Linked DNA regions of Anolis sagrei. The protein of the gene in region 3 purifies or fractionates together with the protein of the main gene of each other region. This does not show direct contact. Links are inferred from orthologs where the notes say so. Each region holds a gene or a part of one and is shown on either strand. Other genes may lie near its edges.

Region 1 (7,807 bases), on a different chromosome or scaffold from region 3:
CTAAACAGAACCGCAGCATCCGCAAAGGCCAATGTGCTTGCCTCACCTGTCGAGGAGGGGCTTGTCGGGCCCGCGCTGCTGCTGCTCCTCGTCGTCCTCCTCCTCCTCCTCGGGGCTGGCACTGCCCAGGATGCGCTTGCGAGCCTCGGCGTACTCGGCCTCCCTCTGGGCCAGGGACTTGACGGGGAAGGCGGGCCGGCTGGCGGTGCGAGGGCTGCCCAAGACCCCGTTGCTGGTGGGACGCTTCAGGATGCGGATCTGGGGAGGGGGCCCCGCCAAGGGAAGGCCCTCGTCCTGCAGCACCACTGGGGGGGCCTTCGGCGGGGAGCGCGGCTTCCGGCTGCGGAAAGAAATAGACTGAGCCAGTCAGGACGACAACGACGTGCTAGGACAGGAAGGAAGCAGCAAATAAATAATAATAATAATAATCTTTATTTATACCCCGCCACCATCTCCCCGATGGGGACTCGGAGCGGCTTATATGAGGCCAAGCCCAAACCGCAAATTACAATAAAATAAAACTGAAAATGCAAACAATAACAACAACATAATTACACAAAGCATGTGAAAACATAGCAATATAGAATTACAATAGGCACAACCAAAGGACAAAGGGTTTAGAGCAGGCATGGGCCAACTTCAGCCTTCCCTCCAGGTGTTTTGGACTGCAACTCCCACCATTCTTAACAAGCCAGTCGTAATAAAAGTGAATGTTTGTTGCGCCAGCTCCACTGGCTGCCAGTTTGCTACTGGGCCCAATTCAAAGTGCTGGCTTTGGCCTATAAAGCCCTAAACGGTTCTGGCCCAACTTACCTGTCCAAACGTATCTCCCCTTATGAACCACTTAGGACTTTAAGATCATCTGGAGAGGCCCTGCTCTCGGTCCCACCTTTGTCACAAGCATGTTTGGCGGGGGTGAGAGACAGGACCTTCTTAGTGGTGGACCCTCAGCTATGGAATGCCCTCCCTAGGGAAATCAGATCTGCTCCCTCCCTCTTGACGTTTCGGAGGCAAGTTAAAACATGGCTATTCGAGCAAGCGTTTACAAATACAGAGTAGCTAATATAGGAAATCGAATGACCTGACAATGGAATTGGACAATGCTTGAGAATAATGAGACGCTGATGATGTTGCTTTTATGACGTTTTATACTGTTTAATGTTTTTTATCTATTACGTTTTATGTATACTGATTTGTTAGAAACCGCCTTGAGTCGCCAATTGGTGGTATACAAATACGGTAAATAAATAATAAATAAATATGTATGTATGTTTGTGGGCAGTGGGCAATGCGGCGACGTTTAGCAAAATATTTAATAGCAATAATGGATACACTTCCACTTTGAGTCTCCTTCGGGAGAGATAAAGTGGGGAATAAATAAATTCAATAATAATAATAATATTATAATAATAGATAACATAATATATAATGGTAATATATTGTAATACCAATAATGGATACATAGCCACTCTGAGTCTCCTTTGGAAAAAATAAAGTGGGGTATAAACGTTTTAAATAAATAAATAAATAAAATTATAATATTATAATAGACAACATAATAATATAATATATAATTATAATATATTATAATAGCAATAATGGATACATAGACACTCTGAGTCTCCTTTCGGAAGAGATAAAGTGGGGTATAAATAAATACAATAATAATAATAATAATAATAAGAAGAAGAAGAAGAAGAAGAAGAAGAAGAATTTAATAGATGACATAATAACACAGTATATAATTATAATATATTGTAATAGCAATAATGGATACATAGCCACTCTGAGTCTCCTTCAGGAGAGATAAAGTGGGATATAAATAAATACAATAATATGATAAATAAATATAACCATAAATATAATAGATAATAATAATGTATTGCAATACTAATAATGGATACATGGCTTTGATTCTCCTTGGGGAGAGATAAAGTGGGGTATAAATAAATACAATAATAATAGATAACATAATAACACAACATATAATTGTAATATATTGTAATACCAATAATGGATACATAGGCACTCTGAGTCTCCTTCGGAAGAGATAAAGTGGGGTATAAATAAATACAATAATAATAGCATTATAATAATATACAACATAATAATATAATATATAATTATAATATATTGTAATAGCAATAATGGATAGACACTCTGAGTCTCCTTCAGGAGAGATAAAGTGGGATATAAATAAATATTATAATATTATAAATAAGTATAACAATAGATAATATAATAGATAATAATAATGCATTGCAATACTAATAATGGATACATGGCTTTGATTCTCCTTTGGGAGAGGTATAAATAAATACAATAATAATAGCATTATAATAGATAATATAATAACATAATATATAACTCTAATATATTGTAATAGCAATAATGGATACATAGACACTCCTTGGGGAGAGATAAAGTGAGGTATAAATAAATATAACAATAATACCATTATAATAGATAATATAATAATATAATATATAATTCTAATATATTGTAATAGCAGTAATGGATACATAGACACTTTGAGTCTTCTTCGGGAGAGATAAAGTGGGGTATAAATAAATAAAATAATATTATAATAATAGATAATAATATAATATATAATTCTAATAGCAGTAATGGATACATAGCCACTCTGAGTCTCCTTTGGGAGAGATAAAGTGGGATATAAATATAGTATAATAATAATAGATAATATAATCTATAATAATCATAATACCAATAATGGATAGCAAGCTAGTAAATACATCAAATGTAGAGCAGGCCTTGGCCAACTTGGGCCCTCCCTCCGGGCGTTTTGGACTCCAACTCCCACAATTCCTAACAGCCTACCGGCTGTTAGGAATTGTGGGAGTCCAAAACGCCCAGAGGGAGGGGGTCCAAACAAAGGGAACTCCTCACCTCTCCTTCTGGCTGATCTTCAGCTTCTTCTCCAGCCGCCTGTCTATTTCCTGCAAGGCAAAAAAGGGGCGTTTGAGGAGACCCCCCTCAACGAAGGAAGCCAGGCCTCCTCCCCCTTGAAGGCAGGCAGGCAAGCGCACGTGGGAGGGCGCGGCCCCTTTAAGAGGCCTAGCAGGCGCCCCGAAGCCTGCGCCTCCTCCTCCTCACCCCGCTGTCGGCCGCCTCCTCCCAGCTCTCCGCGACCTCCTCATCTTCCATCGTCAGGCCCCTCCGCCGCCGCCAGCCCGCTCGAGGCGCATGCGCGCTAAGCCGCCCCTTCCTTCCTTCCTTCCCTCGCTCCCCTTCCCTTCTTTTTGCCCCTCGCCCTCGCCGCCGCTGAGGCTCCTCGCTCGCCGCCCCCCGAACAAGAGCGCATGCGCGGCTTCCCGGGCTCCTACCCTTTTCGTCGGGCGGAGCATGCGCGGTTGGAGCCGTGCCCTTCCTCGCTCCGCCCCATGTAGGGAAAGGTGCCCGTGTGCGCGTGCGCAGTGGCGCCCCTGAGAGCTCGGGCAATCCCTTCAGCCGTGTGGCGCATGCGCAGTATCCACATGTGCCTGCATGTGGAAAGGTGGGGGTTCGCGCGTGCGCAGTGTCGCCCCTCGCTCAGCGCAGGGATTCCTTCTCAATGTCTCAATGTAGAAAGGTGCGAGGTCGCGCGTGCGCAGTGTCGCCCCTCGCTCAGAGCAGGGATTCCTTCAGCTGTGTGACGCATGCGCAATATCTCTATATGTCTCAATGTAGAAAGGTGCGAGTTCCCGCGTGCGCAGTGTCGCCCCTCGCTCAAAGCAAGGATTCCTCCAGCTGTGTGACGCATGCGCACTATCCCTATCTGTCTCAATATAGAAAGGTGCGAGTTCGCGCGTGCGCAGGGTCGCTCCTCGCTCTGAGAGGGATTCCTTTAGCTGTGTGACGCATGCGCAATATCCCTATATGTCTCAATATGGAAAGGTGCGAGTTCGCGCGTGCGCAGTGTCGTTCCTCGCTCTGAGAGGGATTCCTTTAGCTGTGTGACGCATGCGCAGTATCCCTATATGTCTCACTGTAGAAAGGTGCGAGTTCGCGCGTGCGCAGTGTCGCAGGGATGCCTTCAGCTGTACGGCGCATGCGCAGTATCCCTATGAGCCTCTGCGAACGGTGCGAGTTCGCGCGTGCGCAGTGTTACCTCTCGCTGTGCGAGCAGGGATTCCTTCAGCTGTGTGACATATGCGCAGTATTTCTATATGTCTCAATGTAGAAAGGTGCGAATTCGCGCGTGCGCAGTGATTCCTTCAGCTGTATGGCGCATGCGCAGTATTCCTATGTGCCTCCGCGAAAGGCGCGAGTTCGCGCGTGCGCAGTGTCGCCCCTCGCTCTGAGAGCAGGGACTCCTTCCATATCCCAAAGTGTCTCCACTCTCCGTGTGTAGAGAAAGTGCCAATTCACGCATGCGCAGTGGCGCCATTCACCCCGAGAGCGGGCATGCATTCAGCGGCGTGGCGCATGCGCAGTATCTTTAGGTGCCTCCGCTGCTTCCATATAGGGAGGGGCCGGTTTTGGTTTTGCGCGTGCGCAGTGGCGCGAATTCCTTCACCAGTGTGGCGCATGCGCAGTATCCCGAAGTAGGAAAAATCGGATACACGAAAGAACCTGAATTCCTTCACCAGTGTGGCGCATGCGCAGTATCCCAAAACACCGAAACTGAGTATTGGTCGATAGGGGGAGGAGCCAAGATGGCGTCACAATCCTTCCCAAGATGGCGCCGCCCTGACGAGGGGGCAACCAAGATGGCGCCCGCGCAGGCCCCACGTGACGGCGGGAGGCGCCTGCGCGTTGGCCTCGTCCCCGCCCCTGAGCCGAGCGATGGCGGCGGAGACGGTGGCCGGGAGGGCTCAGGCGGGGGAACCCCGAGAAGGCGGCTGGCGCTGCTGTGGGCGCCCGGCCCGGAGGAACCGAAGGCGGCTCTGAGGAGGGAGAGGGAGCGCGGAAGCGGCAGGTGAGGCCAGCAGCCCCCCTTCCGGCCCCTGGCCCCGCCCTCTCGTGATGTGGCAGAAACGGAGCGCCCCGCTGAGAGGCGCCCAGGCCTCTGGACTACAACTCCCAGCAGCCCCCGCCGGTTGGGACCACGGCCGGGCATTCTGGGAGTTGGAGTCCCTGAGGCCTGTCCCGCCTCTCCAGACAGTAGGCCTGGGCCTTCCTGTGTTTTGGACTCCAACTCCCAGCATTCCCAACAGTCTATAGAATAGATCCAGGCCTGGTGTTTTGGGCTCCCAACCAACATCCTATAGATCAGGAATGGGCCAACTTCGGCCTTCCCTCCAGGTGTTTTGGACTCCAACTCCCAGCATTCCTAACAGTCTATAGAATAGATCCAGGCCTGGTGATTTGGGCTCCCAACCAACATCCTATAGATCAGGCATGGGCCAACTTCGGCCTTCCCTCCAGGTGTTTTGGACTTCAACTCCCACAATTCCTAACAGCCTACCGGCTGTTAGGAATTGTGGGAGTTGAAGTCCAAAACACCTGGAGGGAAGGCCGAAGTTGGCCCATGCTTGCTAAAAATTCAGACCTGCTGTCGGGAGAATCCAGGTGTTTTAGACTCCCGATTCCTAACAGCCCATAGCGTCAACGATGTCTTGTTTAATAGACACCCATGAAATCATTCCGTTTTCCGTGAACTTCCATCACAACGTTTCCACGTAATCTCTCTGTACAACGCAATCTGTTTTGGATTCTGATTTGTAAACAATCTCCCTTGCTACAATCTCCCTCGCTCCTTATCGCTCAGCTCTTCACTCGACTCTTTATTAGTTGTTGCTATTTCTGACTCCTCGGAATAAACGCCCTCGAGGCCCCTGCTCTTCCAGAGTCAGTTTAATCGACACCCATGAAATCATTCCGTTTCCCGTTAATTTCCTTCTCATTTTCACTCGACTCCTTTTTAGCTCTTGCTATCTCTGACTCCTCGGAATGAACGCCCTCGAGGCCCCTGCTCTTCCAGAGTCAGTTTAATTGACACCCATGAAAATATTCCATTTCCCGTGAATTTCCTTCTCATCTTTACTCGACTCTTTATTAGCTGTTGCTATTTCTGACTCCTTGGAATGAATGCCCTCAAGGCCCCTGCACTTCCAGAGTCAGTTTAATCGACACCCATGAAATCATTCCGTTTCCCGTTAATTTCCTTTTCATCTTCACTCGACTCCTTTTTAGCTCTTGCTATTTCTGACTCCTCGGAGTGAACGCCCTCGAGGCCCCTGCTCTTCCAGAGTCAGCTTAATCGACACCCATGAAATTATTCCGTTTCCCGTGAATTTCCTTCTCAACTTTTCCACGCACTCTCTCTGAATGGCACAGTCTATTTTCAGCTGTGATTTGTAAACGATCTCTGTAAGTACAGATAGTTTCCCATGGGAACCTTCCTTATCGCTCAGCTTTTCACTCGATCCCTTATCTGCTGTTGCTACTTCTGACTCCCCTGAATGAATGCCCTTATCCTCATTTCCTAGACTTGAATTTCCCAGACTTGAGAGCCCATCGCTTTGTGCCACGGGAAAGCCCCAAATCCTCTCTAAATCATCAGTGAAACCACCAGCTTCTGGTGGCTGATCTATAACAGTTGGAAAGGTATCTGTCAGGAGGGCTTTGTTCCTTTCTTGCTTGGCTCTGATTTGTAAACAGACTTTTGTTGATCTCCATAGTTACAGGTGGGTTTCCCTGGGAACCCTCCTTATCGCTCAGTTCTTCACTCAATTCCTTATCTGATGTTGCCACTTCTGACTCCTCTGAATGAATGCCCTTGAAGCCCTGCACTTTCTGAGCTAGTTTATCCATAAAGAGAACCATCATTTCCTATACTTGAATTTCCCAGACTTGAGAGCCCATCGCTTTGTGCCACGGGAAAGCCCAAAATTCTCTCTAAGTCATCAGTGAAACCACCAGCCTCTGGTGGCCTATCTATAATAGTTGGGCAGCTATCTGTCAGGAGGGCTTTGTTCTTTTCCTGCTTGGCTCTGATTTGTAAACAAAGACTTTTGTTGATCTCCATAGTTACAGGTGGGTTCCCCTAGGAACCCTCTTTATCGCTCAGTTCTTCACTCAATTCCTTATCTGCTGTTGCTACTTCTGACTCCTCTGAATGAATGACCCTGAGGCCCTGCACTTTCCGAGCCAGTTTTCTCACAGAATTATAATTGTTTGTACTGGCATTGAATTTTGCCATTACTTATGTGTAAACTGCTTTGAGTCCCCCTCGGAGTGAGAAAAGCGGTATACAAATACCGTAAAAACAAATAAATAAATAAATAAATAAAATCATTTCTCAGACTTGAGAGCCCATCACTTTGTGCCACAGGAAAGCTCACAATCCTCTCTAAATCATCAGTTATACCACCAGCCTCTGGTGGCTGATCTACAATGGTTGGGTAACCATCTGTGTCAGGAGGACTTTGTGCTTCTCCTGCTTGGCTCTGATTTGTAAACAGACTTTTGTTGAACTCTTCAGCTGCAGGTGGGCTCCTCTGGGAACCCTCCTTGTCACTCAGCTTTTCACTCGATCCCTTATCAGCTGTTGCTACTTCTGACTCCCCTGAATGCATGCCCTTGAGGCCCTGCACTTTCCGAGCCAGGTTTCTCACAGAGAGAACCATCATTTCCCGGGTTTGAGAGCCCATCGCTTTGTGCCACAGGAAAGCTCACAATCCTCTCTAAATCATCAGTTATACCACCAGCCTCTGGTAGCTGATCTACAACAGTTGGATAACCATCTGTGTCAGGAGGACTTTGTGCTTCTCCTGCTTGGCTCTGATTTGTAAACAGACTTTTGTTGAACTCTGCAACTGCAGGTGGGCTCCTCTGGGAACCCTCCTTGTCACTCAGCTCT
Region 2 (7,067 bases), about 7.0 Mb from region 3:
TAGATTACGATTGGTGACTCTTTCTTTATTTTCTGAACATTAAGCAGTTGAGGAGGGACCCATTTCTAGCAAGCCAAAACACAGTATTAAGCTTCTTTAGTGAGCATTGCAGTCACATGACATTATCTCACTTGGTGCAAATGTTTTGGGACTAGACCACAATTATTCCAGCTAACTCCATGAATATTTGGAATAACTGGAATTGAAGATAACTTGGATTCATTTCTTTAATTTTTCTCATAGACTAAATCAGGGTTTTTACTACCTTTTCAACTTTAATACTTTTTTGGAAAACTAGTAGTCCAGGAGAATGCACCTCCTCATTCTGAAACTGAACTGCACTGAACTAGAAACTAAACTCAATCTATTTAAAACCCACGAGGTGTTACATAATCTGCTGAGTCACCAGATTAAACATGTTATCTGTCTAGTCTCTTTGTTCCCAAATCATAGGAATGTGTGACAAAAACATATCATTTATATCCCATGTTTTCCCAAGGAACGTAAGCTGATCCACTCAGATAATTCTCACAATAATCATGTGAGCTATTATGCCATTCACAAATCACTCAATGAGCTTTACAACTCAGGAGGAATATAAAGCCTGCCATATCCTTCAGTGGGAATATCACAGTGTCTCAAACAGAGATATCAAAACTAAAATCCATGGTGCACAAATATTAAATCAAATACTTTCATCAAATACTTATGTTATCAAGAGCTTTTATGTGCTGGAGTGCATGACAAACCTCTTTAAAACATCTAATTTTACTACCACTCCTGGGCACAACACCTATAAGCATATCTTTGGAGGAAATAATCATTCCCCATGTACCCACATTCTTCAATATCCAACAAAATTGAGAGTGCATGTGCCATCAAAATATCAGACACCTCCATGCTCACTCAGCTCACCTCAACACTGTGTAAAGCATTACCTTTAAAATATCACTGGTTCTAAGAAAACAGAAAGCCAATCTGAAAAATTTGAAAAAAATGTGAATGAATTCCTATGCACACTCTGCACATATCTTACTTGTAGTGCAAAAACCACATAAAACAATACAATAATTAAAATGAAGAACAATTTTACCAAATATAAACTAATTAGTATTTCAGTGGGAAGTGTAGGCCTGCTTTTGGCTGATGAGATAGGATTGTTGTTGTGCGCTTTCAGGTCAGTTCAGATTTGGGTTGACCCTGAGCAAGGGCCGGGTAAATTACCTTGGAGGGCCGTATCTGGCCCTTGGACCTTAGTTTGAGGACCCCTGATATAGGTAGTGGGATAATGTGTTTCTGAGGGAGGAGCTCAAAAGAAATGAACAATGGGGCTAGACCTTCATTAAGGGCGGGAGGAAAGTGCATCATGAGGACAGAACTATAGTTGGGAGAGACAAAATATGGAATATATGTTCACTTACCAGGCACATCGTAAGAGCCAAGTTTTAAGTCTACAGTGCAGTACCTGCACCTTTGACTCTGGTGGCCAGAGTTCCAATTCATGCGTGGAAAACCCCCTGGCGACCCTGTCACACACTCTAAACCAGGCATGGGCAAACTTTGGCCCTCCAGGTGTTTTGGACTACAACTCCCACAATTCCTAACAGCCCACTGGCTATTGGGAATTGTGAGAGTTGCAGTCTAAAACACCTGGAGGGCCAAACTTGCCCATGTCAGCTCTAAACCCAGAAAACTTAAGTAACTAATAGTTTAAAGACCCTTTAAAATTACAGCCAAGATTCCATAGCACTTTTTTTTTGTTGTGTCAGGAGCGACGTGTGAAACTGCAAGTCGCTTCTGGTGTGAGAGAATTGGCCCTCTGCAAGGACATTGCCCAGGGGACACCTGGATGTTTTTTTGATGTTTTATCATCCTTGTGGGAGGCTTCTTTCATGTCCCCACATGAGGAGCAGGTACTGATAGAGGGAGTTCATCCATGCTCTCCCCAGATTTGAACCTGCGACGGGTTGGTCTTCAGTCCTGCCGCCACAGGGGTTTAACCCACTGTGCTACTGGGGGCTCCCATAGCACTGCGCCATGACAATCAAAGTGATGTCAAACTTCATTAATGCACTTCAAACGACTTGAAGGCACAGCAAATACAGTGAGAAACTGCTCGAGTCGTTCTCTGGCTGCATCTATACCTGGCATGGGCAAACTTCTTACATATCACCTGTCACATCATCACTTTTAATCCTGTACCCTTCACTCTGGCCCGGCCCAGTTTTATTGTGTTTTGGTGTATTGTTTATTGATTGTTGTTTTGTTGTTTAATATTGCTTTAATTGTTTTTAATTTGCTTTAGGTTTGTATTGTTATGTTGTATTTGAGGCCTTGGCCTTTGTAAGCCGCATCGAGTCCTTTGGGAGATGCTAGCGGGGTGCAAATAAAGTTAATAATAATAATAATAATAATAATAACTTCGGCCCTCCATATGCTTGGACTTCAACTCCAATAGACTGTTAGGAATTGTGGGAATTGAAGTCCAAAACACCTGGAGGGCCGAAGTTGGCTCATGCCTGATTCAGATTGTAGAATGAAAGCACTTTGATCTCACTTTGTCTGCTATGGCTCAATGCTTTGGGATCCTGGGACTTGTAGTTTGGTGAGGGACCAGCACTCTTGGGCTACAAAGACTCAAAGACCTTGTAAAACCAAAGCTCTCAGAATCCCAAGTGGTGTGAAGCATGACCCTCCCACGCCCATCCCGGCCAAGGCCCAGTGCCAGGAGTCACCTGTATCCCCAAGCGGGCAGCAGAGCCTGACCGAGGTGCGCCCGCAGGTCCCCAAGAGTCGGCTCCGCCTCAGGCAACTCCAGCGGGGCCGTTCTCTTCCGCGCCCGGACGCGGAGCTTCATGGCGGCGACTCCCTCGCTTCCTGCCACTGGCTTCCTCGCCTCGCTCAGCGAAGAAGGCGGTGGCGGTTAGCGGAAGCAGCCCCAACTCGCGCGCGGGGCTTCCGGGTGCCTCTGCTATTGTTGTTGTTGTTGTTGGGCTGGGGAAGCCCCGCCTCCTCTTGCGGCATCCGTCCACTCCCGCCGTCCCAGGCGACACCAAGCCCCGCCCCCTTTCGCTTCCCCTCCCTCTCCCGAGCGAGAGCCGAAACAATCCGGAAATAAACGAGGCAGGGCCCTTGGGGCAACGCTCTTGCTGGCTCACTCTCAGCGGGCATGCGCAATGCCTCGAATCTCCGGCGCGCGCAGAATACGATCTTACCGTTGCCGAAAGCCCAGAGTCACGTGATTGTGTCACCGTTTGGATTGGAAGTGGACGAGAGACGAGAGATTGACGAGTCATTGATTTCCCAAACTCTGGCCTCCCAAAAGTTTAGGCGCCCTTCCACACAGTCCTTTATCCCAGAATGTCTGCTTTGAACTGGGTTATCGGAGTCCCCAGGAAATAAAGCCCGGCTGCTCATTGGAGGGAAGGATACTAGAGACAAAGTTGAAGTACTTTGGCCACATCATGAGGAGACAGGAAAGCCTAGAGAAGACAATTATGCTGGGGAAAGTGGAAGGCAAAAGGAAGAGGGGCCGACCAGGGGCAAGATGGATGGATGGCATCCTTGAAGTGACTGGACTGACCTTGAAGGAGCTGGGGGTGGTGACGGCCGACAGGGAGCTCTGGCGTGGGCTGGTCCATGAGGTCACGAAGAGTCGGAGACAACTGAACGAATGAACAACATCGGAGTCCACACTCAGATAATGTGGGATTTCCCTAACCATTGGCCAAGGCAGCTGAGGCTTCTGGAAATTGAAGTCCAAAATGTTTGTGAGGACTAAGGCCCCTTCCATACAGCTGAAAAAAAATCCACATTTTCTGAGGTGATAGTATGATAGCTGGGTCCGGAAGCACCGAGCATTAGGCAAATGTAGTATGTTGTATGTACATATGACTTGTAACTTTTATTTACAGTCCAGCAAGCAGGCCTGGGTCTTTTACTAGTTTTTCCAAAACTCCACTCATAATAGAGGGGACGTAGTTTAAAAAAGGGAATTTTCAGAGATGTTCCCAATGCCCATATATCATGAGTTACTGCCATATTGGCCTATTTCTGCAGTAGGCCTATGTTTACAGAAAATGCTGATTGTTTGAGAAATCAGCACTCCAAAGAAGAAGTTACTATTCAAGGATATCAGTGTTGGGGCAACAAAACCAGAATATTTCCCAAAAAGGCAAAAGCCCCCTTTCCAATAGGGAGGGCAAGGATGGACACCACGAAAGTTGAAGCTTTTAAACTGCAAAAAACCTATTTATTTCGTGGCCATAGCAATAATGACAAACAGGCATACAGGGATGCAATCAAAGGGTTTGTCACAACCCCCAATGGGGCTGTAGAGCATTTATAGTAAATGGAATATACATTTTCATTGGTTCCCAAAGACAAATCATTTCATTGGTCTAAGTTAAGTTAGGGAAGGCTGAGCAAAGGAAGATAGATGCTTTTGAGCTGTGGTGTTGGAGGAAAGTTCTGAGAGTGCCTTGGACTGCGAGAAGATCCAACCAGTCCATCCTCCAGGAAATAAAGCCCGACTGCTCACTGGAGGGAAGGATACTAGAGACAAAGTTGAAGTACTTTGGCCACATCATGAGAAGACAGCAAAGCCTAGAGAAGACAATTATGCTGGGGAAATTGGGAGGTAAAAGGAAGAGGGGCCGACCAAGGGCAAGATGGATGGATGGCATCCTTGAAGTGACTGGACTGACCTTGAAGGAGCTGGGGGTGGTGATGGCCAACAGGGAGCTCTGGCGTGGGCTGGTCCATGAGGACACGAAGAGTCGGAGACGACTGAACGAATGAACAACAACAAAGTTAGCTATACAGTTGTTCATTTGTTGTTTATGATTTTGATTGACATTATAGCACACATGGGATCCTAACAATGGCACAACTTTAACATAACTATAGTCCGTTGTTCTCTGACCATGACTGCATCTTATCTGTAGGTCTGTTGCAAACATGGCTTCAGAGCGACTGAAAAACTTGGGGGTTCTAACTAGCCAACAGCTAGCTGGTTTTGTCCGGATATACTGTTATCCTTGAATAGTAACTTCGTCTTTGGAGCACTGATTTCTCAAACAATCAGCATTTTCTGTGAACATAGGCCTACTGCAGAAATAGGCCTATATGGCAGTAAATCATGACATATGGGCATTGGGGAAATATCTGAAAATTCCCTTTTTAAAACCACGTCCCCTCCAACAGTATATCCGGACGAAACCAGCTAGCTCATGGCTAGTTAGAACCCCCAAGTTTCCCAGTCGCTCTGGAGCCATGTTTGCAACAGACTAACAGATAAGATACAGTCATGGTCAGAAAACAATGGACTATAGTTGTGCCATTGTTAGGATCCCACGTGTGCTATAATGTCAATCAAAATCATAAACAACTAATGAACAACTGCATAGCTAGCTTATACCAATGAAATGATTTGTCTTTGGGAACCAATGAAAATGTATATTCCATTTACTATAAATGTTCTGCAGCCCCATTGGGGGTTGCGACAAACCCTTTGATTGCATCCCCGTATGCTTGTTTGTTGTTATTGCTATGGCCACGCAATAAATAGTTTTTTGCAGTTTAAAAGATTCAACTTTGGTGGTGTCCATCCTTGCCCTCCCTGTTAGAAAGGGGCTTCTGCCTTTTTGGGAAATATTTTGATTTCTTTGCCCCTACAATACAATATCCATTCTTCCATTTATTCCCGCACATCATTATTAAATTCACATTTCTCAAATCTGCAATGATATTTTTATGAGAGGTCCACAGCGCCTGGCAAGCTGTAGAAGCCAATACGAGTTTTTCCCAAATAAATCTCACTAGGATGAAACACATGCCACTGAAGTTTATTTTCTGTTCCAGCTGGAAAAGGATGACAACCACAGTCATCTGCTGAAGAAGCCAGCATACCCAAATACAGAAAAATACACATTTTATACATTTTTTTCCAGTTTGAATTTCCCGCGCCCTGAGCCGGCTTTGCCATGATTGGTCAGGGGAATCCCTGACGTCAGCAGGCCGGGAAGAGCAGCTGGGAGCAGGTGTGTCTCAGCCAATGACAGCCCGAGCCCCGCTTCGGCCTCTCAACCAATTGTGATAGAGAAGGTACAGCAGTAGTAGAAACAAAGATATAGTTGCTTAAATGATCAGATTATGACTGACCCTTCCTGGGTCCATTGATAAAGCAATCTGGGCGATAGCTCATTCATAAGGCAATCTGGGGAAGATGGCGTTGGTTCAGAAGGGATCGGTTAAGCCTTGGATACGGAAATCCAGATGCAACTCAATATCCACATTTTAAAAGATCGCAGTTCCTTGCCTTCCAGGATGCTGCTGGAGCGTCCCAGCCGAGCCTGTGAAGGTTCGCGGCTCGGAAGAGAGAAAGGTTTGAGTCAGAGAAGGACACAATGCATCTTGCAGGGAGCTGGAAGTCAGGAAACGGATACATTTTATTAGGGTCTTCTGTTACAAGGTGGCCAGAGGAGACTGAAAGGGAAGAGAGAGAGAGACTTCTTCTGTTGGAGCTGCAGCTGGTGCAACGCCTCGGTTGAAATTCAGATCAATTCCATGCAGTGGTGAGATCCAGGATCTGCAGAACTTCATGCTGCAACTGGCAGTGGCTAGATCAATTTGAAAGCACCAAATTGAAAGATCAATTTCTTCCAGCTCCACAGTTCAAAAGCATCACTTCACTCAGCCTTCCTTATGGTCCCGCTCTCACATCCATAGATTGCTATGGGGAATACCATTGCTTTAACTATGCGGATCTTTATTGCCAGTGTGATGTTTCTACTCTTCACTATTTTATCAAGATTGATCATTGCTGTCCTCCCAAGAAGTAAATGTCTTCTGATTTCCTGGCTACAGTCATCTTCTGCAGTCATCTTCGCGCCTAGAAACACAAAGTCTGTCACTGCTTCCACGTTTTCTCCCTCTATTTGCCAGTTATCAATCAGTCTGGTTGCCATAAACTTCGGTTTTTTTCTAATGTTTAACTGCAACCCAGCTTTTGCACTTTCTTCTTTTACCTTGGTTAGAAGGCTCCTCAGCTCCTTCTCTCTTTCAGC
Region 3 (8,111 bases):
AAAACTTTTCAAGTTCCCCTCCCCACAAGCTTTGATCTTCATAACAAAACCATTTATGGTTCTTTCCCACAAATTTTGATGTTTGTACGAACTGAAAAGTAGACATCTTACATTACAGACACCCCACGCAACAGTGCATTCTTCAGAGGTAGCTGATGCTTGGTTAGCTTGACATTCTATGCCTGGAAGAACAAGATTAAATAGAAACATTGATTATTACTGAAACGATAACTGGTGATGAAATATCCACATTTTCTGTTAAATATAGATGTTTCGAGATAACAAAAGAGGCAGACACATGATGAAAAACAGAATTAAAGTATCATTAGACCCACTTCCCATTGGATGAGAGGAATCTGGATGTACCATTCACATGTAATCCTAGTTTATTTTTCTAGTTGATTAACTGATAGGTAACAGATTCCAACTATGGATGTACAGTGGGAAGAGGTGATGGAGGAGTACTTAGCACTAAATCCTGCTCTATAAACAAAGGTAGTTATGAAATCTCAAATCAGTCAAACCAGGCCATTGCCTAGAACTGTTTCATTATGCTCTGTACCTTCGAAGTTATCTAGAAATCTGTCTTAATAACACATTATCACACAGGATGGATCTTTTAATCTGATTCTGCATGACAATTTTTACATTAATGATCCCAGATGAAGAAGCAATTTTGTATATTGCAAGAACTGCAATGTAGACATGTAGATACTATCCCAAACAATATAGTTGTACTGAGCAACTACAATTGCAGTCACAATATTACATGAAAGAATGGCAAGTATGACCTCCTAATCCTCAGGTTCTTCATAGGAGGCCAGAAAACTAATTTAAGTTTATATTGCAAATATAGCCATAACTTAATGCACTAATTATTCCTCTGTAACTAAATTACTCCTCTAATCTTATATGTGTAGTTTAACTACACAATTCACCATTTCTTTTCGTTGTCAGAGAAACTGCAAGTCACTTCTGGTGTGAGAGAACTGGATGTTGCCCAGGAGATGCCCGGATGTTTTACCTTCCTGTGGGAGGCTTCTCTCATGTCCCTGCATGGGAAACTGGAGCTGACAGACAGGAGCTCACCCCACTCCCCGGGTTCAAACCATCAGCAGTCCTGTCGGCACAAGGGTTTAACTCATTGCGCCACCAGGGGCTTCTACAATTAATCGTGAATTGTTGAGACTGCTATGAAGTTATGTTTTCATCATCTTGCTCCTTTTTATTGTCATCCTCTGATATCCACAATAACTATATATACAGCACAAATATTCTGGAGGTACTTACACAGATCCATAATGTGGTTTCTGCAAATGGCACAGTTATCAACCACGATGTCCCAAGCCCAGAGTGCAACTGCATTCCACTAAAGAATGAAATTACAATTAATGCAATTTTTCTTTGTTACTTTTTTTTGCATCGCTGTTGAGCCTAGCAAAACACAAAATGAGGCTTCACATGAGTTTGTGAAACCATGGATAATAACAAACCCTGTTGAAATTAAGGACTTTTTTGGCCCAAGAAAACCATGCTAGAGGACCTAGAGAATTCCCAAAGAGAACATTATTTGTCAAATGTGGATAAATTTCCAAATAGCATTCTTATTGATGTAGAAGTTGTACTGTAAACAAGCCAGTTTAACTAATTTTTTTTAATGTGTGTTGTCTTCTTACCTGTCTGAACCTATCTCCCCTTACAAACCACCAAGGACGTTAAGATCATCCAGGGAGGCTCTGTTCTCAGTCCCACCACCTTCGCAGGCATGACAGGTGAAGATGAGAGACTGGCCTTCTCTGTGGTGTCTTCTCAGCTGTGGAACTTCCTCCCCAATGAAGTTAGGTTTGCCCTCTCCCTCCTTACCTTCCATAGAAAACTCAAAACCTGCTGTGGGATCAAGCATTTGAACAATGGCTGGAGCAACTGGGAAGATAACGTTTTACGTGACCACAATGAATGGAACTGGATTATGATTTGCAACTGGCAAAATGTTTTTAAATTAAAGCATCAGAGGATGCTTGCCATAGATAAAGGTGAAACGTCAGGAGAGAATGCCTCTAGAACAGTGGTTCTCAACCTGGAGTCCCCAGATGTTTTTGGCCTTCAACTCCCAGAAATCCTAACAGCTGCTAAACTGGCTGGGATTTCTGGGAGTTGTAGGCCAAAAACATCTGGGGACCCCAGGTTGAGAACCACTGCTCTAGAACATGGCCATATAAGCCTGAAAAAACCTACAACAACCCAATGTTTTTATTCCCGGTAATTGCCATGAACATAAATTCCATATTAACTTGAATTGTTATTTTGAAAAGCTTCCCTATTTTTAAAATTATCTTATCCCAAAAAAGTTGTTGCATTTCTGATTCTCAAGTTTTATTATTCTGCTGATAAAGAAGAATATTTCTGACTTGTGATGAAATATCCACATTTTCTGTCAAATATGGATATTTTCCCATAGTCTGGGAAATACTATACTAGAGAAATCTGTGATTTCCCGCCACATTGCGGTGCATCCCACCTTTGAAAACCAGAGGAGCACAAAGGCTCCCGCTCAAACATGTATCTCAACTGTAAACAAACCTTGGGAAACGAGGGCGCCAATGGAAAGCACTTTCATAGAATCAAAGAGTTGGAAGAGACCTCGTGGGTCATCCAGTCCAACCACCTAAAGAAGCAGGAATATTGCATTTAAATCACCCCTGACAGATGGCCATCCAGCCTCTGTTTAAAAGCTTCCAAAGAAGCTTCCTGTTCGGGTTCTAGGCGAGGTCTGGACCAAAGGAACGCGGCCCACTAAGCCTCCCCATCACTTTTCGCTTTCACCTCACATTCAACATGAAAGATGGTTTCCGGGGGAAAAATAACCCTTCCCCAGGCCCCGCTACGTCCGCCACCTTCTCAACCCCAAGGCCTCGCCTTTTTCCTCTCACCTTCTTCACTTCGAAACGCTTTTTGCCGGCGTTGCTGTTGGTCCCGCTTGGTGTGTCAACATCCATCGCGGCAGCCATTTTGGATACAACTCCCGGCAGACTTTCCAGAACTGCGCATGCGCACGCTCGGTAAAAAAAAAGGAAAAGAAAAAAAGAACAAAATCTCGCGATACTTCCTGAGAAGTTTGTTTATTTATTTATTTATATATATGGATGCCTCACCCCCGCCCCTCCTTACAAACAGGTGTGCGCGAGCGAGGGAGGGAGGGAGCGCGCGCGAGGGTAGGGTGGGGGACCCAAAGGGGGCGGGGCTTGGTCACGTGCCGCCCTTTCCTCTTAAAGGCGCTGCTCAGGGCGGAGGCCTTTCTGCAGGGCCGTGCGGCGTCGTCGTTGTCGTCGTCGTCTTTTTACTGCGCTCCAGTGAAAGGACGGGAGGGAGGGAGGGAGGGGGGGGGGAAAGGGGCGGAGCTCTGAGGAAGGTTATTTAAAGGGATACGCACCAATTACTCTTGTATGAAATGCTGGGGAAACACTTGAAAACACTGTGTCATAGAATATATCCATAGGAATAAACCTTGAGGGCTACACAAAATCCATTTGTGTCGAGAGGAATACATGTCATAATGATTTAGTCAGAATCAGTGTGCCCTCCCCCTCTTAATATGTATGTAAACACACCCTTCAACACCAAATAGCTTTACTTGAAGGCAACCTAAATGCGTGAGCTGTGGCTCTTCCTGGGATTCGTCTCCAGCCTGCTTTCCCTTCTTCCCTCCCATCTTCCTTAATTAGGATGACTAATCCTTGCTAAACCATCGTCGCTCCAGAATCCATTACTGGGCTTTTGTGTGGAGCGCCTCCTTCTCTCTTCCCCCCCCCCCCCCCCAATATCCAGAGCTTTGTCTTAATATTAATTTTATTTCCTCAGGAAAGGCGCATCTGCAGCGCTTAGTGAGGCCAGGACATCCCCTCAAACCAATTCTGTCCAAAGGAAGAGTCTCCATGCCTTGGAACTGGCATTGAGGCGTCAAAGACATACACAGATCCCTAGGCCTTGGGAAGGCCTTGGATTGGGATTCATCAGGCATGGGCCAACTTGGGCCCTCCAGGTGTTTTGGACTTCAACTCCCATCATTCCTAACAGCCTCAGGCCCCTTCCTTTCCCCCCTCAGCCGCTTAAGCGGCTGAGGGGGGAAAGGAAGGGGCCTGAGGCTGTTAGGAATGATGGGAGTTGAAGTCCAAAACACCTGGAGGGCTCAAGTTGGCCCATGCCTGGGATATATAATGTTAGGCGATCCCTCGTAGCTCAAGGATGATGGTCGTCCAGATGTCATGTCTTGGTGGTGGAGCCCTATTCTTGATCATCTTCTCCCACACTAAGGACATAATCTTTTCCAGGTGGAAAGCAGTCCTGGTCAGGGTTGGCTCGACGCGCCTTTTTCTTGGCACGTTTCTCCCTCCGTTCGTGCCTCTTCGAATTCTGCAGCACTGTTGGTTACAGCTGACCTCCAGTTAGAATATATCCATCTTGCCCTTGGTCGGCTCCTCTTCCTTTTTCCTTCCATTTTCCCCAGCATCATTGTCTTTCTAAGCTTTCCTTCTCATGATGTTGCCAAAGTACTTCATCTTTGCCACTACTATCCTTCCCTCCAATGAGCAGTCGGGCTTTATTTCCTGGAGGATGGACTGGTTGGATCTTCTTGCTCAAGGGCCAGTTCTTGGTGTCTATGCCATACTCTACGCCAGTGTTTCTCAACCTGGGGGTCGAGACCCCTGGGGGGGGGGGGGTTGTGAGGGGGTTTCAGAGCGGTCGCCAAAGACTATCAGAAAACTCAATATTGTCTGTTGGTCATGGGGGTTCTGTATGGGAAGTTTGCCCCAATTCTATCATTGGTGGGACACAGACTGTTCTTTGATTGTAGGTGAACTATAAATCCGAGCAACTACAACTCCCAAATGTCAAGGTCTATTTTCCCCAAATTCCATCAGTGTTCACATTTGGGCATATTGAGTATTCGTGTCAAGTTTGGTCCAGATCCATCGTTGTTTGAGTCCACAGTGCTCTCTGGATGTAAGTGAACTACAACTCCCAAACTCAAGGTCAATGCCCACCAAACCCTTCCAGTATTTTCTGTTGATCATGGGAAAATACATCCTGTATATCAGATATTTCCATTTTGATCCATAACAGTAGCAAAATTACAGTTATGAAGTAGCAATGAAAATAATTTTATGGTTGGGGGTCACCACAACATGAGGAACTGTATTAAGGGGTCATGGCATTAGGAGGGTTGAGAAACATTGCTCTATGCTCATCAGAGGGAACCAAACTTCTGAAGGACAAAAAATCAATTGCACTACGTTGGAAAGAACACTACCAAAGCCTCCTGAATCACAGCTCCAATGTGGACGAAGAGGTTCTCTCACAAATCCTGTAACAACAAACCAGGGATGAGCTCGCACTGCCAACTAGTTTGGAAGAAGTCAGCAATGCCATTGTTGTTGTTCATTCATTCAGTCGCTTCCGACTCTTCGTGACCTCATGGACCAGCCCACGCCAGAGCTCCCTGTCGGCCGTCACCACCCCCAACTCCTTCAAGGTCAAGTCAGTCACTTCAAGGATACCATCCATCCATCTTGCCCTTGGTCGGCTCCTCTTCCTTTTTCCTTCCGTTTTCCATAGCATCATTGTCTTCTCTAAGCTTTCCTTCTCATGATGTGGCCAAAGTACTTCATCTTTGCCACTACTATCCTTCCCTCCAATGAGCAGTCGGGCTTTATTTCCTGGAGGATAGACTGGTTGGATCTTCTCGCAGTCCAAGGCACTCTCAGAACTTTCCTCCAACACCACAGTTCAAAAGTATCTATCTTCCATCGCTCAGCCTTCCCTAAGGTCCAGTTCTCACACCCATAGGTGACTGGGGAATACCATTGCTTTTAGTATGCGGGTCTTCATTGCCAGTGTGCTGTCTCCACTCTTCACTATTTTATTGAGATTGGTCATTGTTAGCAATGCCATTAGCCAACAAAACAGTAACAAAGCCAGAAGATATATAGTGCCTCTGTACAAAAAGGGCATCTCAGGTCATGTCTTCAAGGTAGAATTAATGCCTTCAATGCTATGCCATGGTTCAATGCTATAATGTCATCGGAGCTATGGTTAAACAAGATCTTTATAACATTCCCTGCCAAATAGTGTTGGTGTGTGTCACCAAAGGGTCATTCCATGCCAAGTGGTCTAAACCTTCCCACCATCATGTCTCAAATTTTATTCAAATTTTAGCCATAGCACCAGTGAGGGGTTAAAACTTTCCCAAAATTTGAGGTCTCTAACTGCAATAGTTGCTGATCCAGACTCCCTTACCTGAAGGGTCGCCAGTCAGAGTGCGCATGACATTTAAGAAAATGCTATTTTTGGGGTCTAACAAAATTGAAATGAAAGGTATGTATGGCTTGTAAATTGGCTTGTAAATTGAAATCCTGCAGTTTTTGTTCTGCTGAGTTCGATGAAATTAATTTCAGTGTTATGGATGCAAAATCCAGTCAAACAAGTTGACTCAAAGTGTGCATCAAAATGTGTCAAGACTCATTTTGAAAAATTTGGCTTCTTGTGGAAGCAAGGATTGGTGGGAAAGCTTCAGTGAAGACACCTTTTTCCATAAGTTTTTTAGGAGTGAATTTGCCTTCTGAGGGATAGATTTCTCACTTCCTGTTGTCTCACTCCTGTTCTTAACTATGAGTCATTTGTAACTCTGGGACTGCCTGTACTTGCTTTTAAAAACTGCCCTTTAAGCCAAAGTTTCCTAACATCAGTTATCGGTAGGCACAGTAACACACTTACTGTACTATGTTAGCACTGGAAAATAAAAAGGAGTTATGTTTATTTTACAGACTTGACCTACTAACCAGAGGTATTAATGCTACACACGCTTACTTGAAAATTAAGCCTCCATTGAACTCAATGGATTTTTCTCTCTCTCAATATGGGCCTTCATGGTTGACTTCATCCATGCTTTCTCAGCATCTTATCCCAAAGACTGAATGCATAATATGATTCTTCCTTATTAAGATTTCTGTGGAAGATCCATTTCAAAAGCAAGAAATGTCAGTAGTCTATTTTAAAATTGTACAGTAAAAACCTTTTGAAATAAAATGTTTAAAAATATTATGCAAGTTTTAACATATAGGCATTCTGGTCTAATGGTAGGAACACAGAAATCTTAATTAGATTTTAAATCAGTCATCATAAGCCTTTAACAGTGATTTTGATTTAACATTTTTTTCTTCATGTTGCTTTTCAATTTCTTCATGCACTTTCTTCTTAAGTTGCCTTCCAAATGTGGAACAGTTCATAAATATATGTACAGATTAGGCTGCAAATCTATGCATTTACTTGTGAATTAGTCCTATTAAAATCAAGTGAGATTTCTGACTAAAAATGTATTGGATAGTAACTTGCTGCATCTGATATGGTTCTTCTGGCCTCTAACAGCAAGATGTGATGTTACAGCATCAGACAGCAATTTCGGAATTGATTTCTCTCTTTTACCTAGGTTATATGTAACTACCTTGTAGAAACTTTCATTGAAAGGTAGGATAAAAACATTTTAAATAAATCACTATAAATTGGGATTTGGAAAATAGAGAGTAAGGAAACATAGAAGACCAAAGAGGCCCTTCCATATCATTAACCAATGTAAATGTCTACCATGCCTAGATATTGTAAGTTGTTCCAGCAAATTAGTTAATATTCCAGATAGAAGGAAAAACGAGGGCAGTGAAAAAAAACCCAAAAAAACAGAGCAAGAGCTTCACAAAGCCAGCCATATTACACATGTTTTCAACTGCAATCCTGTGTATAAATTCACAAATGGTGTCTTTGTAGCTTCCTTTTCTTCATGTGAGAAGCAAAATGATGGCATCTTGAAGGCACACACACAGAGACAGACATAAGACTGATATGAAAACAACCTGTTTATTCACAGCTCATACTTCTTCTGGAACAGCAGATAGGACTTAAGGGGAAAATAACAAAGTCAGATGCACATGTTTCACAAAGGTTAGAAACAAAACATACCAGTACAATCTTTAACAGTACACTGTCCTGTCCTGCTCTTCTAATGATGAGATGAACACTGCAGATGTCCAATGGGACGTTTAATTTCATCAAGATTTTTTTTT
Region 4 (7,827 bases), on a different chromosome or scaffold from region 3:
CCCCTTCCACACAGCTGAACTGGGACATGTGGCAGTGTGAACTCAAATAACCCAGTTCTGCCTTGATATTATTGGGGAGGCTTCCACACAGCCCTATATCCCAGAATATCAAGGAAGAAAATCTGGGTTATCGGAGTCCACACTGCCACATATCCCAGTTCAAAGCAGAAAATGTGGGATTTTATTCTGCTCTGTGGAAGGGGCCTCAATGTTAGAGATAAATGTGGGATGAAGAAAAATAATAGCAGAAAGCAGAAAATGTGGGATTTTATTCTGCTCTGTGGAAGGGGCCTCAATGTTAGAGATAAATGTGGGATGAAGAAAAATAATAGCAGAAAGCAGAATATGTGGGATTTTACTCTGCTCTGTGGAAGGGGCCTCAATGTTAGAGATAAATGTGGGATGAAGAAAAATAATAGCGGAAAGCAGAAAATGTGGGATTTAATTCTGCTCTATGGAAGGGGCCTCAATGTTAGAGATAAATGTGGGATGAAGGAAAATAATAGCAGAAAGCAGAAAATGTGGGATTTTATTCAGCAGTGTGAGGAAATGTAGGATTTTGTTCAGCAGTCCACACTCAGATAATATGAGATTTTCTGCCTTGATATTCTGGGATATAAGGCTGTGTGGAAGGATATAGGGCTAGGTTGTTGTAGGATTTTTCGGGCAATATAGCCATGTTCTAGAGTCATTCTCTAGAACATGGCCTGTGTGGGCTATGTGGAAGGGCCCTGGATTATATGGCTGTGTTGATAGTGTTTGACATCTCTGTGAAATTGAGCAGTACAATATGTCTATAGAACTGCTTGTTGAATTCCATTTTTGTTTTGATATTCTTCTAAAAACACTGTACCAAAATTTACACAATATTGTTTGACATCACTGTGAAATTGAACAGTACAACATGTCTATATAACTGCTTGTTGAATTCGATTATTGTTTACTCTATATATAAGTGGTATTTTTGTTGTATGTGTGGAAGAGGCCTCAATGTTAGAGATAAATGTGGGATGATGAAAAATAATAGCAGAAAGCAGAAAATGTGGGGTTTTATTCTGCTCTGTAAGGGGCCTCAATGTTAGAGATAAATGTGGGATGAAGAAAAATAATAGCAGAAATCAGAAAATGTGGGGTTTTATTCAGCAGTGTGGGAAAATGTGGGATTTTGTTCAGCAGTCCACTCAGATAATATGGGATTTTCTGCCTTGATATTCTGGGATATAGGGCTGTGTGAACTCAGATAATCCAATTAGATGCAGAAGTTGCAGGATTTTCTGCCTTGATATTGGGGGGGGGGGGGGCTTCCACACAGGCCTATATCCCAGAATATCAAGGCAGAAAATCTCAGAATATCTGCTTTGAACTGGGATAACAGAGTCCACACTGGCACATATCCCAGTTCAAAACAGAAAATGTGGGATATTATTCAGCAGTGTGGGAAAATGTGAGATTTTGTTCAGCAATCCACAGATAATATGGGATTTTCTGTCTTGATATTCTGGAATATAGGGCTGTGTGGAAAGATGGGCTGTGTGGAAGGGCCCTGGATTATATGGCTGTGTGGAAGGGGCCTCAATGTTAGAGATAGATGTGGGATGAAGAAAAATAATAGCAGAAAGCAGAAAAATGTGGGATTTTAATGTGCTCTATGGAAGGGGCCTCAATGTTAGAGATAAATGTGGGATGAAGAAAAATAATAGCAGAAAGCAGAAAATGTGGGATTTTATTCATCAGTGTGGGAAAATGTGGGATTTTGTTCAGCAGTCCACACTCAGATAATATGGGATTTTCTGCCTTGATATTCTGGGACATAAGGCTGTGTGGAAGGATATAGGGCTGGGTTGTTGTAGGATTTTTCGGGCTATATGGCCATGTTCTAGAGGCATTGAGCATATTACTGGTATTTTTACATTTCCATCATTATTATATTTATATTATTATGATTATTACATTTATTATTTTACTCTATTATTACTGGAAGGCTACGTAAGCACATTTACATTGAAGAAGGTTAGAGTAATGGTTTAATCAGAGTTGGGCAGTCTTATCTTAAATTACAGTTTTATGTAAACATTTAACCTACTGATGCCTCAATTAATGTAATTTTATTGGTATCTATTTTTATTTTGAAATTTACCAGTAGATGCTGCATTCCCCATCCTCTGCTTATACTCAAGTCTCTAGAACATGTCCTGTGTGGGCTGTGTGGAAGGGCCCTGAATTATATGGCTGTGTGGAAGGGGCCTCAATATTAGATAAATGCATGATATTTTTTAAAAAATAGTAATAATCAACCTGGGCCTCGTACCTCTCTCCACAGGGAACCAAGGGGGGGGGGGGGGCGCTATGGCCTCCACAAAACCCCCGAAGCCTCTCCAGAGAGGGACGCACAACCAGCCCATCAAAACCCCCCATAGCTACCCAGCAAACCAAACAAAGCGCGGCCTGCGGACGGAGGTGAAATACAGCCCACAATTTAATGGAGAGGGGGGGGAGGAGAGAGATGAGGGGACCCCACCCGTTTTCCTTCCTCCCCTCCCTCCCTTTTCAGTCCTTTCCTCCCCCCTCCCCTCTCTCTCTGTTTCGATCCTCCATTTTCTCCTTCTTACCCCGTTCCCCTGCTGCGGCAGCGTTGTTGTTGTTGTTCCTCTCCGGGGGCGGCGGTGGAGGAGGAGGGGGCGGCAGTTGCAAGGGCTGGGGTTGCTGCTGTTGTTGCTGCGGAGGCGGTTGTTGCTGGGCCTGAGGCGGCGGCGGTGGGGGAGGCGGCGGCGGGGGAGGCGGCGGAGGCTGCTGCACCGGGCGCGGCCTGGACACTCGCCGGGGTCTCCTGTTGGCGGCCCGCACCGAGTTCATTTGCCGGCCTGGGCGGGGGGAGGAGAGGGGGCCGCTCCTCCGGAAACCGGGACTGTTCGGGGAGGGAGAGAGGGAAGGAAGGAGAGAGAAGGCCCCAGGAAAGAAAGGAAGGCCTCCTCCTTCTCCTCAGCTTCCTCCTCTTTCCTCCCTCCTCCTCCTTCTCCTCAGTGGCGGTTGATGAAGGGGACGCTCGCGCCGTCGCCTCGCGCACACGCGGCGGCGCGCGCTGCTCCTCTCCCCTCCCCCCCTCCCCGGCCCCCCCGCCTTGCCGCTGCCGCCTCTTCTCCTTCGCTCGAGGGAGTCAACCCTTCTTCTTCTTTCTCCTTCCTCCTCCTCTCGGCTTAAACCCGTCGCCGCCGCCACCACCACCGCTCTGTGGCAGGAGGAGCCATTGACGCTGCCAGGGAGGGAGGGAAGGAGGGAGGGAAAGAAGCGCCCCTCCTCATACACACATACACACACACACACAGAAGGAGATTTGAGTGTACGTTTTCGTCCCCTCACGACGTGAGCCAATCCCAGCCTCCGTCACGGAAACGGGCGAGGCGACTCCGCCAATCGCGGCGCGGCTTGCATTCTTGAGGCCGCGCTCGCGCACTCTCCTCGCGCACTCTTTCTCTCCCTCGTTCCCCCCTCCCTCTCTCTCACACTCTTTCTCCCTCCCCCCCCCTTCCTCTCGCTCTCACTCCTGCCCTCTCACGACGAAACGCCCGGCTCGTCCAATCTTGGTTTCCGTCACGAAAAAGGAGAGTCGCCTCAACCAATAGGGTCTCCGCTTGCACTACAGGACACTCCCTCCCCTTTCCCCTGTGTCTCCTTCACTCAAGATGGGTGCTCGGCTCGTCCAATCCTGGTTTCTGTCACGAAAGGGGAGAGGCGCCTCAACCAATAACGTCAAAGCTTACATTATACTCCGCGCTCTGGCACACACTCCCTCCCTTTCTCTGTGTCTCCTTCACTCTTTCTCTCTCCCTCGTTCCCCCCTCCCTCTCTCTCACGACGAAACGCCCGGCTCGTCCAATCTTGGTTCCCGTCACGGAAAGGGAGAGTCGCCTCCACCAATAGGGTCTCGGCTTGCAATACAGGACACTCCCTCCCCTTTCCCCTGTGTCGCCTTCACTCAAGACTCGTCCAATCCTGGTTTCGGTCACGAAAGGGGAGAGGCGCCTCAACCAATAGCGTCGAGGTTTGCATTATACTCCGCGCTGTGGCACACACTCCCTCCCTTTCCCTGTGTCTCCTTCACTCAAGATGGGTGCTCGGCTCATCCAATCCTGGTTTCCGTCACGGAAGGGGCGAAGCGTCTCAACCAATAAAGTCGAGGCTTGCATTACAGGACACTCCCTTTCCCCTGTGTCTCCTTCACTCAAGACGGGTGCTCGGCTCGTCCAATCCTGGTTTCTGTCACGAAAGGGGAGAGTCACCTCCACCAATAAGGTCTCGGTTTGCATTACAGAACACTCCCTCCCCTTTCCCCTGTGTCTCCTTCACTCAAGACGGACGCCCGGCTCGTCCAATCCTGGTTTCTGTCACGAAAGGGGAGAGGCGCCTCAACCAATAGCGTTGAGGCTTGCATTATACTCCTCGCTGTGGCACTCCCTCCCTTTCCCTGTGTCTTCTTCACTCACGACCAACGCTTGGCTCGTCCAATCCGAGCCTCCGTCACGGAAGGGACGAGTCCCTCGACCAATAGCGACGAGGCTTGCATTTATAAGCCGTCCAAAGGGCGGTTGCGTCGTGAGGAGGTGGAGAAAAAGAGAATGAAGGGAAGGAGGGGAAGAGAGAAAGGAAAGTGAGGCAGGAGGGTTGTGGGAGGGGAGAGAGAGGAGGAGGAGGCCGCAGGAAGAGAGAGAGAGATGCATAGAACACGAACTGAGGGGAGAGCATTAAGACGTCGTAGAAGAAGATGGAGTCTGTTGAGGAGGCCTTTAGGCCTCACCTCAGAAAGAAAGGAATTCAGGGAGTAGATCATTCAATGAGCCAGTCAGAAAGTAAGGGTGAGAATCTGAGACTCAGAAACCTGGCATGGACGCCTTTATTTTCCCCCCTCAGAAGTTCCAAGATCTGCCTGTATATTTGGGGTAGAGGTCATTGTATATTTGGGGTAGATAAGATAAGGAGAAAGGAGGGGAAAGGGGACATAGGTATTTGTTGTCAGGGACAGAAATAGTAAAGGGAGACACACATTACCTACTTCCAGGCACAAAACCATCCAGATGCAGGCGAAACGTCAGGAGAGAATGCTTCTAGAACATTGAAGCTTTGGAAGCTTTTAAACAGAGGCTGGATGGCCATCTGTCAGGGGTGATTTGAATGCAATATTCCTGCTCCTTGGCAGGGGGTTGGACTGGATGGCCCATGAGGTCTCTTCCAACTCTTTGATTCTATGATTCTAAGGCCATACAGCCTGTAAAGCCTACAACAACCCAATCCAGGTCTTCTGAAGGAAAGAAGCTAGTCTGACCACTTGCCACTTACCTTGCTGGAAAAGTCTGAAGAAAAGATGCCAAAAAGAGTAGGCATGAAACAGGTATTGTGTATATCTAGTCTGCGCCTTTTTGACATACTTGGGCCTCCCTCAGTGTTTCTTGCTGTAGTTTTGCGGTTATTTATTTATTTCGTATTAAAAGCATTGCATAAATTAGGTTCTTGTGGGTTTTTTCGGGCTATAGAGCCATGTTCTAGAGGCATTTCTCCTGACGTTTCGAAATGCCTCTAGAACATGGCTCTATAGCCCGAAAAAACCCACATGAACCTAGTGATTCCAGCCATGAAAGCCTTCGACAATACATTGCATAAATTAGTATAAAACTGATAAAAATAGAAGATGCACAGGTGGCTAAATATAATTTGACCAAAAACGGGCAACAGCAACGGCATTGTCTGTAGAGAATTTTGAGGACCGAGACATCCGTAGGGAGACCAAGGTGCTTGTTTATAAAGCTATTGTCCTCCCAACCCAGCTATATGGCTGCGAAACGTGGACTGTCTACAGACGTCGCATGCAACTCCTGGAACGATTCCATCAGCATTGCCTCTGGAAAATCCTGCAAATCTCTTGGGAAGACAAGCGGACAAATGTCAGTGTGCTTGAAGAAGCAAAGACCACCAGCACTGAAGCTATGGTCCTCCGCCATCAACTCCGCTGGGCCGGCCACGTTGTCCGGATGCCTGACCACTGTCTCCCAAAGCAGTTGCTCTACTCCGAACTCAAGAACGGAATACGGAATGTTGGTGGACAGGAAAAGAGATTTAAAGATGGGCTCAAAGCCAACCTTAAAAACTTTGGCATAGACACTGAGAACTGGGAAGCCCTGACCCTTGAGCACTCCAGCTGGAGGTCAGCTGTGACCAGCAGTGCTGCAAAATTTGAAGAGGCACAAATGAAGGGTGAAAGAGAGAAACGTGCCAAGAGGAAGGCGCATCAAGCCAATCCCGACCGAGACTGCCTTCCACCTGGAAACCAATGCCCTCACTGCGGAAGAAGATGCAGGTCAATAATAGGGCTCCACAGTCACCTACAGATCCACAAGAATACTGATCCTGCAAGACTATCCTACTCAGCCAACGAGGGATCGCCTAAGTAAATAAGTGTCTGTAGCCTCCAACAATTCCTCCTCTGTACACGAGGCAGGGGCACAGTGGACAAGCATACAGATGCGGAGTTTTCTGTTCTGCTCCACAATTATACAAGGTTTGGAATTCTTCTAGGTAGTGCCATTTTGCCAGGTTTCCTTTTGATCTGCCCACTCCGCTATTCAGGGACTTCCAAGTTGCCCGTTCTTGGTTTGCCTCTGGAGGAAGACCCTCGCAAGGTGGCCATCCAGTTGGGATTTCCCGGTTTAGCTGCCTATAGGGAGTCCCTTGCTGTTGCTGGAGGGACACCAAGAGGAGTGGTAGTTATAAAGCTTTTCCTTGATTTGAGTCTACAGGGAGGAGACTGGTAGCCATGTGTTGGATGGCTTTCATAGTGTCCAACCTTATTTCTCTCACATTTAGCAGCAACTTCCCGTTGCACATGGGGGGGGGGGCAATGCCAGCTAGCTTGTGGAGTTAATCAACAGGTGTAGGTTTAAGACATTTTGGGGTTTTCTTCTTGCCTTTTCTGTTGTTGTGGGAATATTTATGCTGTTCTGTTGCCTTTCCAGCTGCCCTTTTTTGGACATGGATGGACATAGTGATGTGCTTTGCGTGAATAAAGGGGTCGCATTCGGTGCCTGTTCAGAAACGTCAGAGTACAACGTATACAATTGGTGGATTCCAGGTATTAAAGATGAGCCTGTGCTGCAGATCCAGTTCTTCATTTGCAAGTGGAATTGATACCCTCTTGTGCAGGCCTGGACAGACTTGGATCCTCTGATGCTTTTGTGGGAGTTTTGGACTTCAACACCCACTATATTTGGAGTTAAAGTCCAAAACACCCAGAGGGCCCAAGTTGGCCCAGGCCTGCTCTATAGTATTCTTGGGCCAGGAGTCCTTCATTTTAGTAAAGGTTCGTTATTATCCACAGTTCTGCATTTCCACACAAATTCAGGGAACATATCTCCCATGGATATGGGGGTTGCACAGTAATTGTCATTTGAGTACTAGGAGGCACAGTGGATTAAACTGCTTAACTGATTAACTTGCTGATCGAAAGGTGAGCGGTTCAGATCTGGGGAGCTGGGTGAGCTCCCTCTGTTAGCCCCAGTTTCTGTCAACCTAGCAGTTTGAAGAAATGCAAATGTGAGTAGATCAACAGGTATTGCTTCGGCAGGAAGATAAACAGCGCTCCATGCAGTCATGCCGGCCACATGACCTAGGAGGCGTCTACGGGCAACACCAGCTCTTCAGCTTAGAAATGGAGAGTCAGACACGACTAGACTTAATGTCAAGGGGAAACCTTTACCTTTACAGTTTTACATTTCTTCAATGTAACAAACAAATCCATTGTTTTTTATTATTATACTTATTGTTTTTACTCCTCTGTCCATG

The links.
Region 1: the proteins of RBX1 (region 3) and FBXO42 purify together in Homo sapiens (affinity purification with mass spectrometry; 4 studies listed by BioGRID and IntAct, with this or other methods). This does not show direct contact. The link is inferred for Anolis sagrei from reciprocal best matches to the Homo sapiens genes RBX1 and FBXO42.
Region 2: the proteins of RBX1 (region 3) and FBXO7 purify together in Homo sapiens (affinity purification with mass spectrometry; 5 studies listed by BioGRID and IntAct, with this or other methods). This does not show direct contact. The link is inferred for Anolis sagrei from reciprocal best matches to the Homo sapiens genes RBX1 and FBXO7.
Region 4: the proteins of RBX1 (region 3) and FBXO11 purify together in Homo sapiens (co-immunoprecipitation; 4 studies listed by BioGRID and IntAct, with this or other methods). This does not show direct contact. The link is inferred for Anolis sagrei from reciprocal best matches to the Homo sapiens genes RBX1 and FBXO11.

The regions. Positions count from the first base shown.
Region 1 is NC_090033.1:7,742,561-7,750,367, reverse strand, and holds the start of FBXO42 (F-box only protein 42), read left to right. Parts: upstream 1-4,747; 5' UTR 4,748-4,921; intron 4,922-7,807. Other genes in the region: SZRD1 (SUZ RNA-binding domain-containing), read right to left, coding at 47-340, 2,911-2,960, 3,118-3,168. UniProt on the Homo sapiens protein: Substrate-recognition component of some SCF (SKP1-CUL1-F-box protein)-type E3 ubiquitin ligase complex. Specifically recognizes p53/TP53, promoting its ubiquitination and degradation.
Region 2 is NC_090025.1:168,878,490-168,885,556, forward strand, and holds the start of FBXO7 (F-box only protein 7), read right to left. Parts: upstream 3,053-7,067; 5' UTR 2,858-3,052; coding exon 2,736-2,857; intron 1-2,735. UniProt on the Homo sapiens protein: Substrate recognition component of a SCF (SKP1-CUL1-F-box protein) E3 ubiquitin-protein ligase complex which mediates the ubiquitination and subsequent proteasomal degradation of target proteins and plays a role in several biological processes such as cell cycle, cell proliferation, or maintenance of chromosome stability.
Region 3 is NC_090025.1:161,877,877-161,885,987, forward strand, and holds the start of RBX1 (E3 ubiquitin-protein ligase RBX1), read right to left. Parts: upstream 3,046-8,111; 5' UTR 3,009-3,045; coding exon 2,931-3,008; intron 1,370-2,930; coding exon 1,291-1,369; intron 183-1,290; coding exon 112-182; intron 1-111. UniProt on the Homo sapiens protein: E3 ubiquitin ligase component of multiple cullin-RING-based E3 ubiquitin-protein ligase (CRLs) complexes which mediate the ubiquitination and subsequent proteasomal degradation of target proteins, including proteins involved in cell cycle progression, signal transduction, transcription and transcription-coupled nucleotide excision repair.
Region 4 is NC_090021.1:20,874,044-20,881,870, reverse strand, and holds the start of FBXO11 (F-box only protein 11), read right to left. Parts: upstream 3,095-7,827; 5' UTR 2,854-3,094; coding exon 2,610-2,853; intron 1-2,609. UniProt on the Homo sapiens protein: Substrate recognition component of a SCF (SKP1-CUL1-F-box protein) E3 ubiquitin-protein ligase complex which mediates the ubiquitination and subsequent proteasomal degradation of target proteins, such as DTL/CDT2, BCL6, SNAI1 and PRDM1/BLIMP1.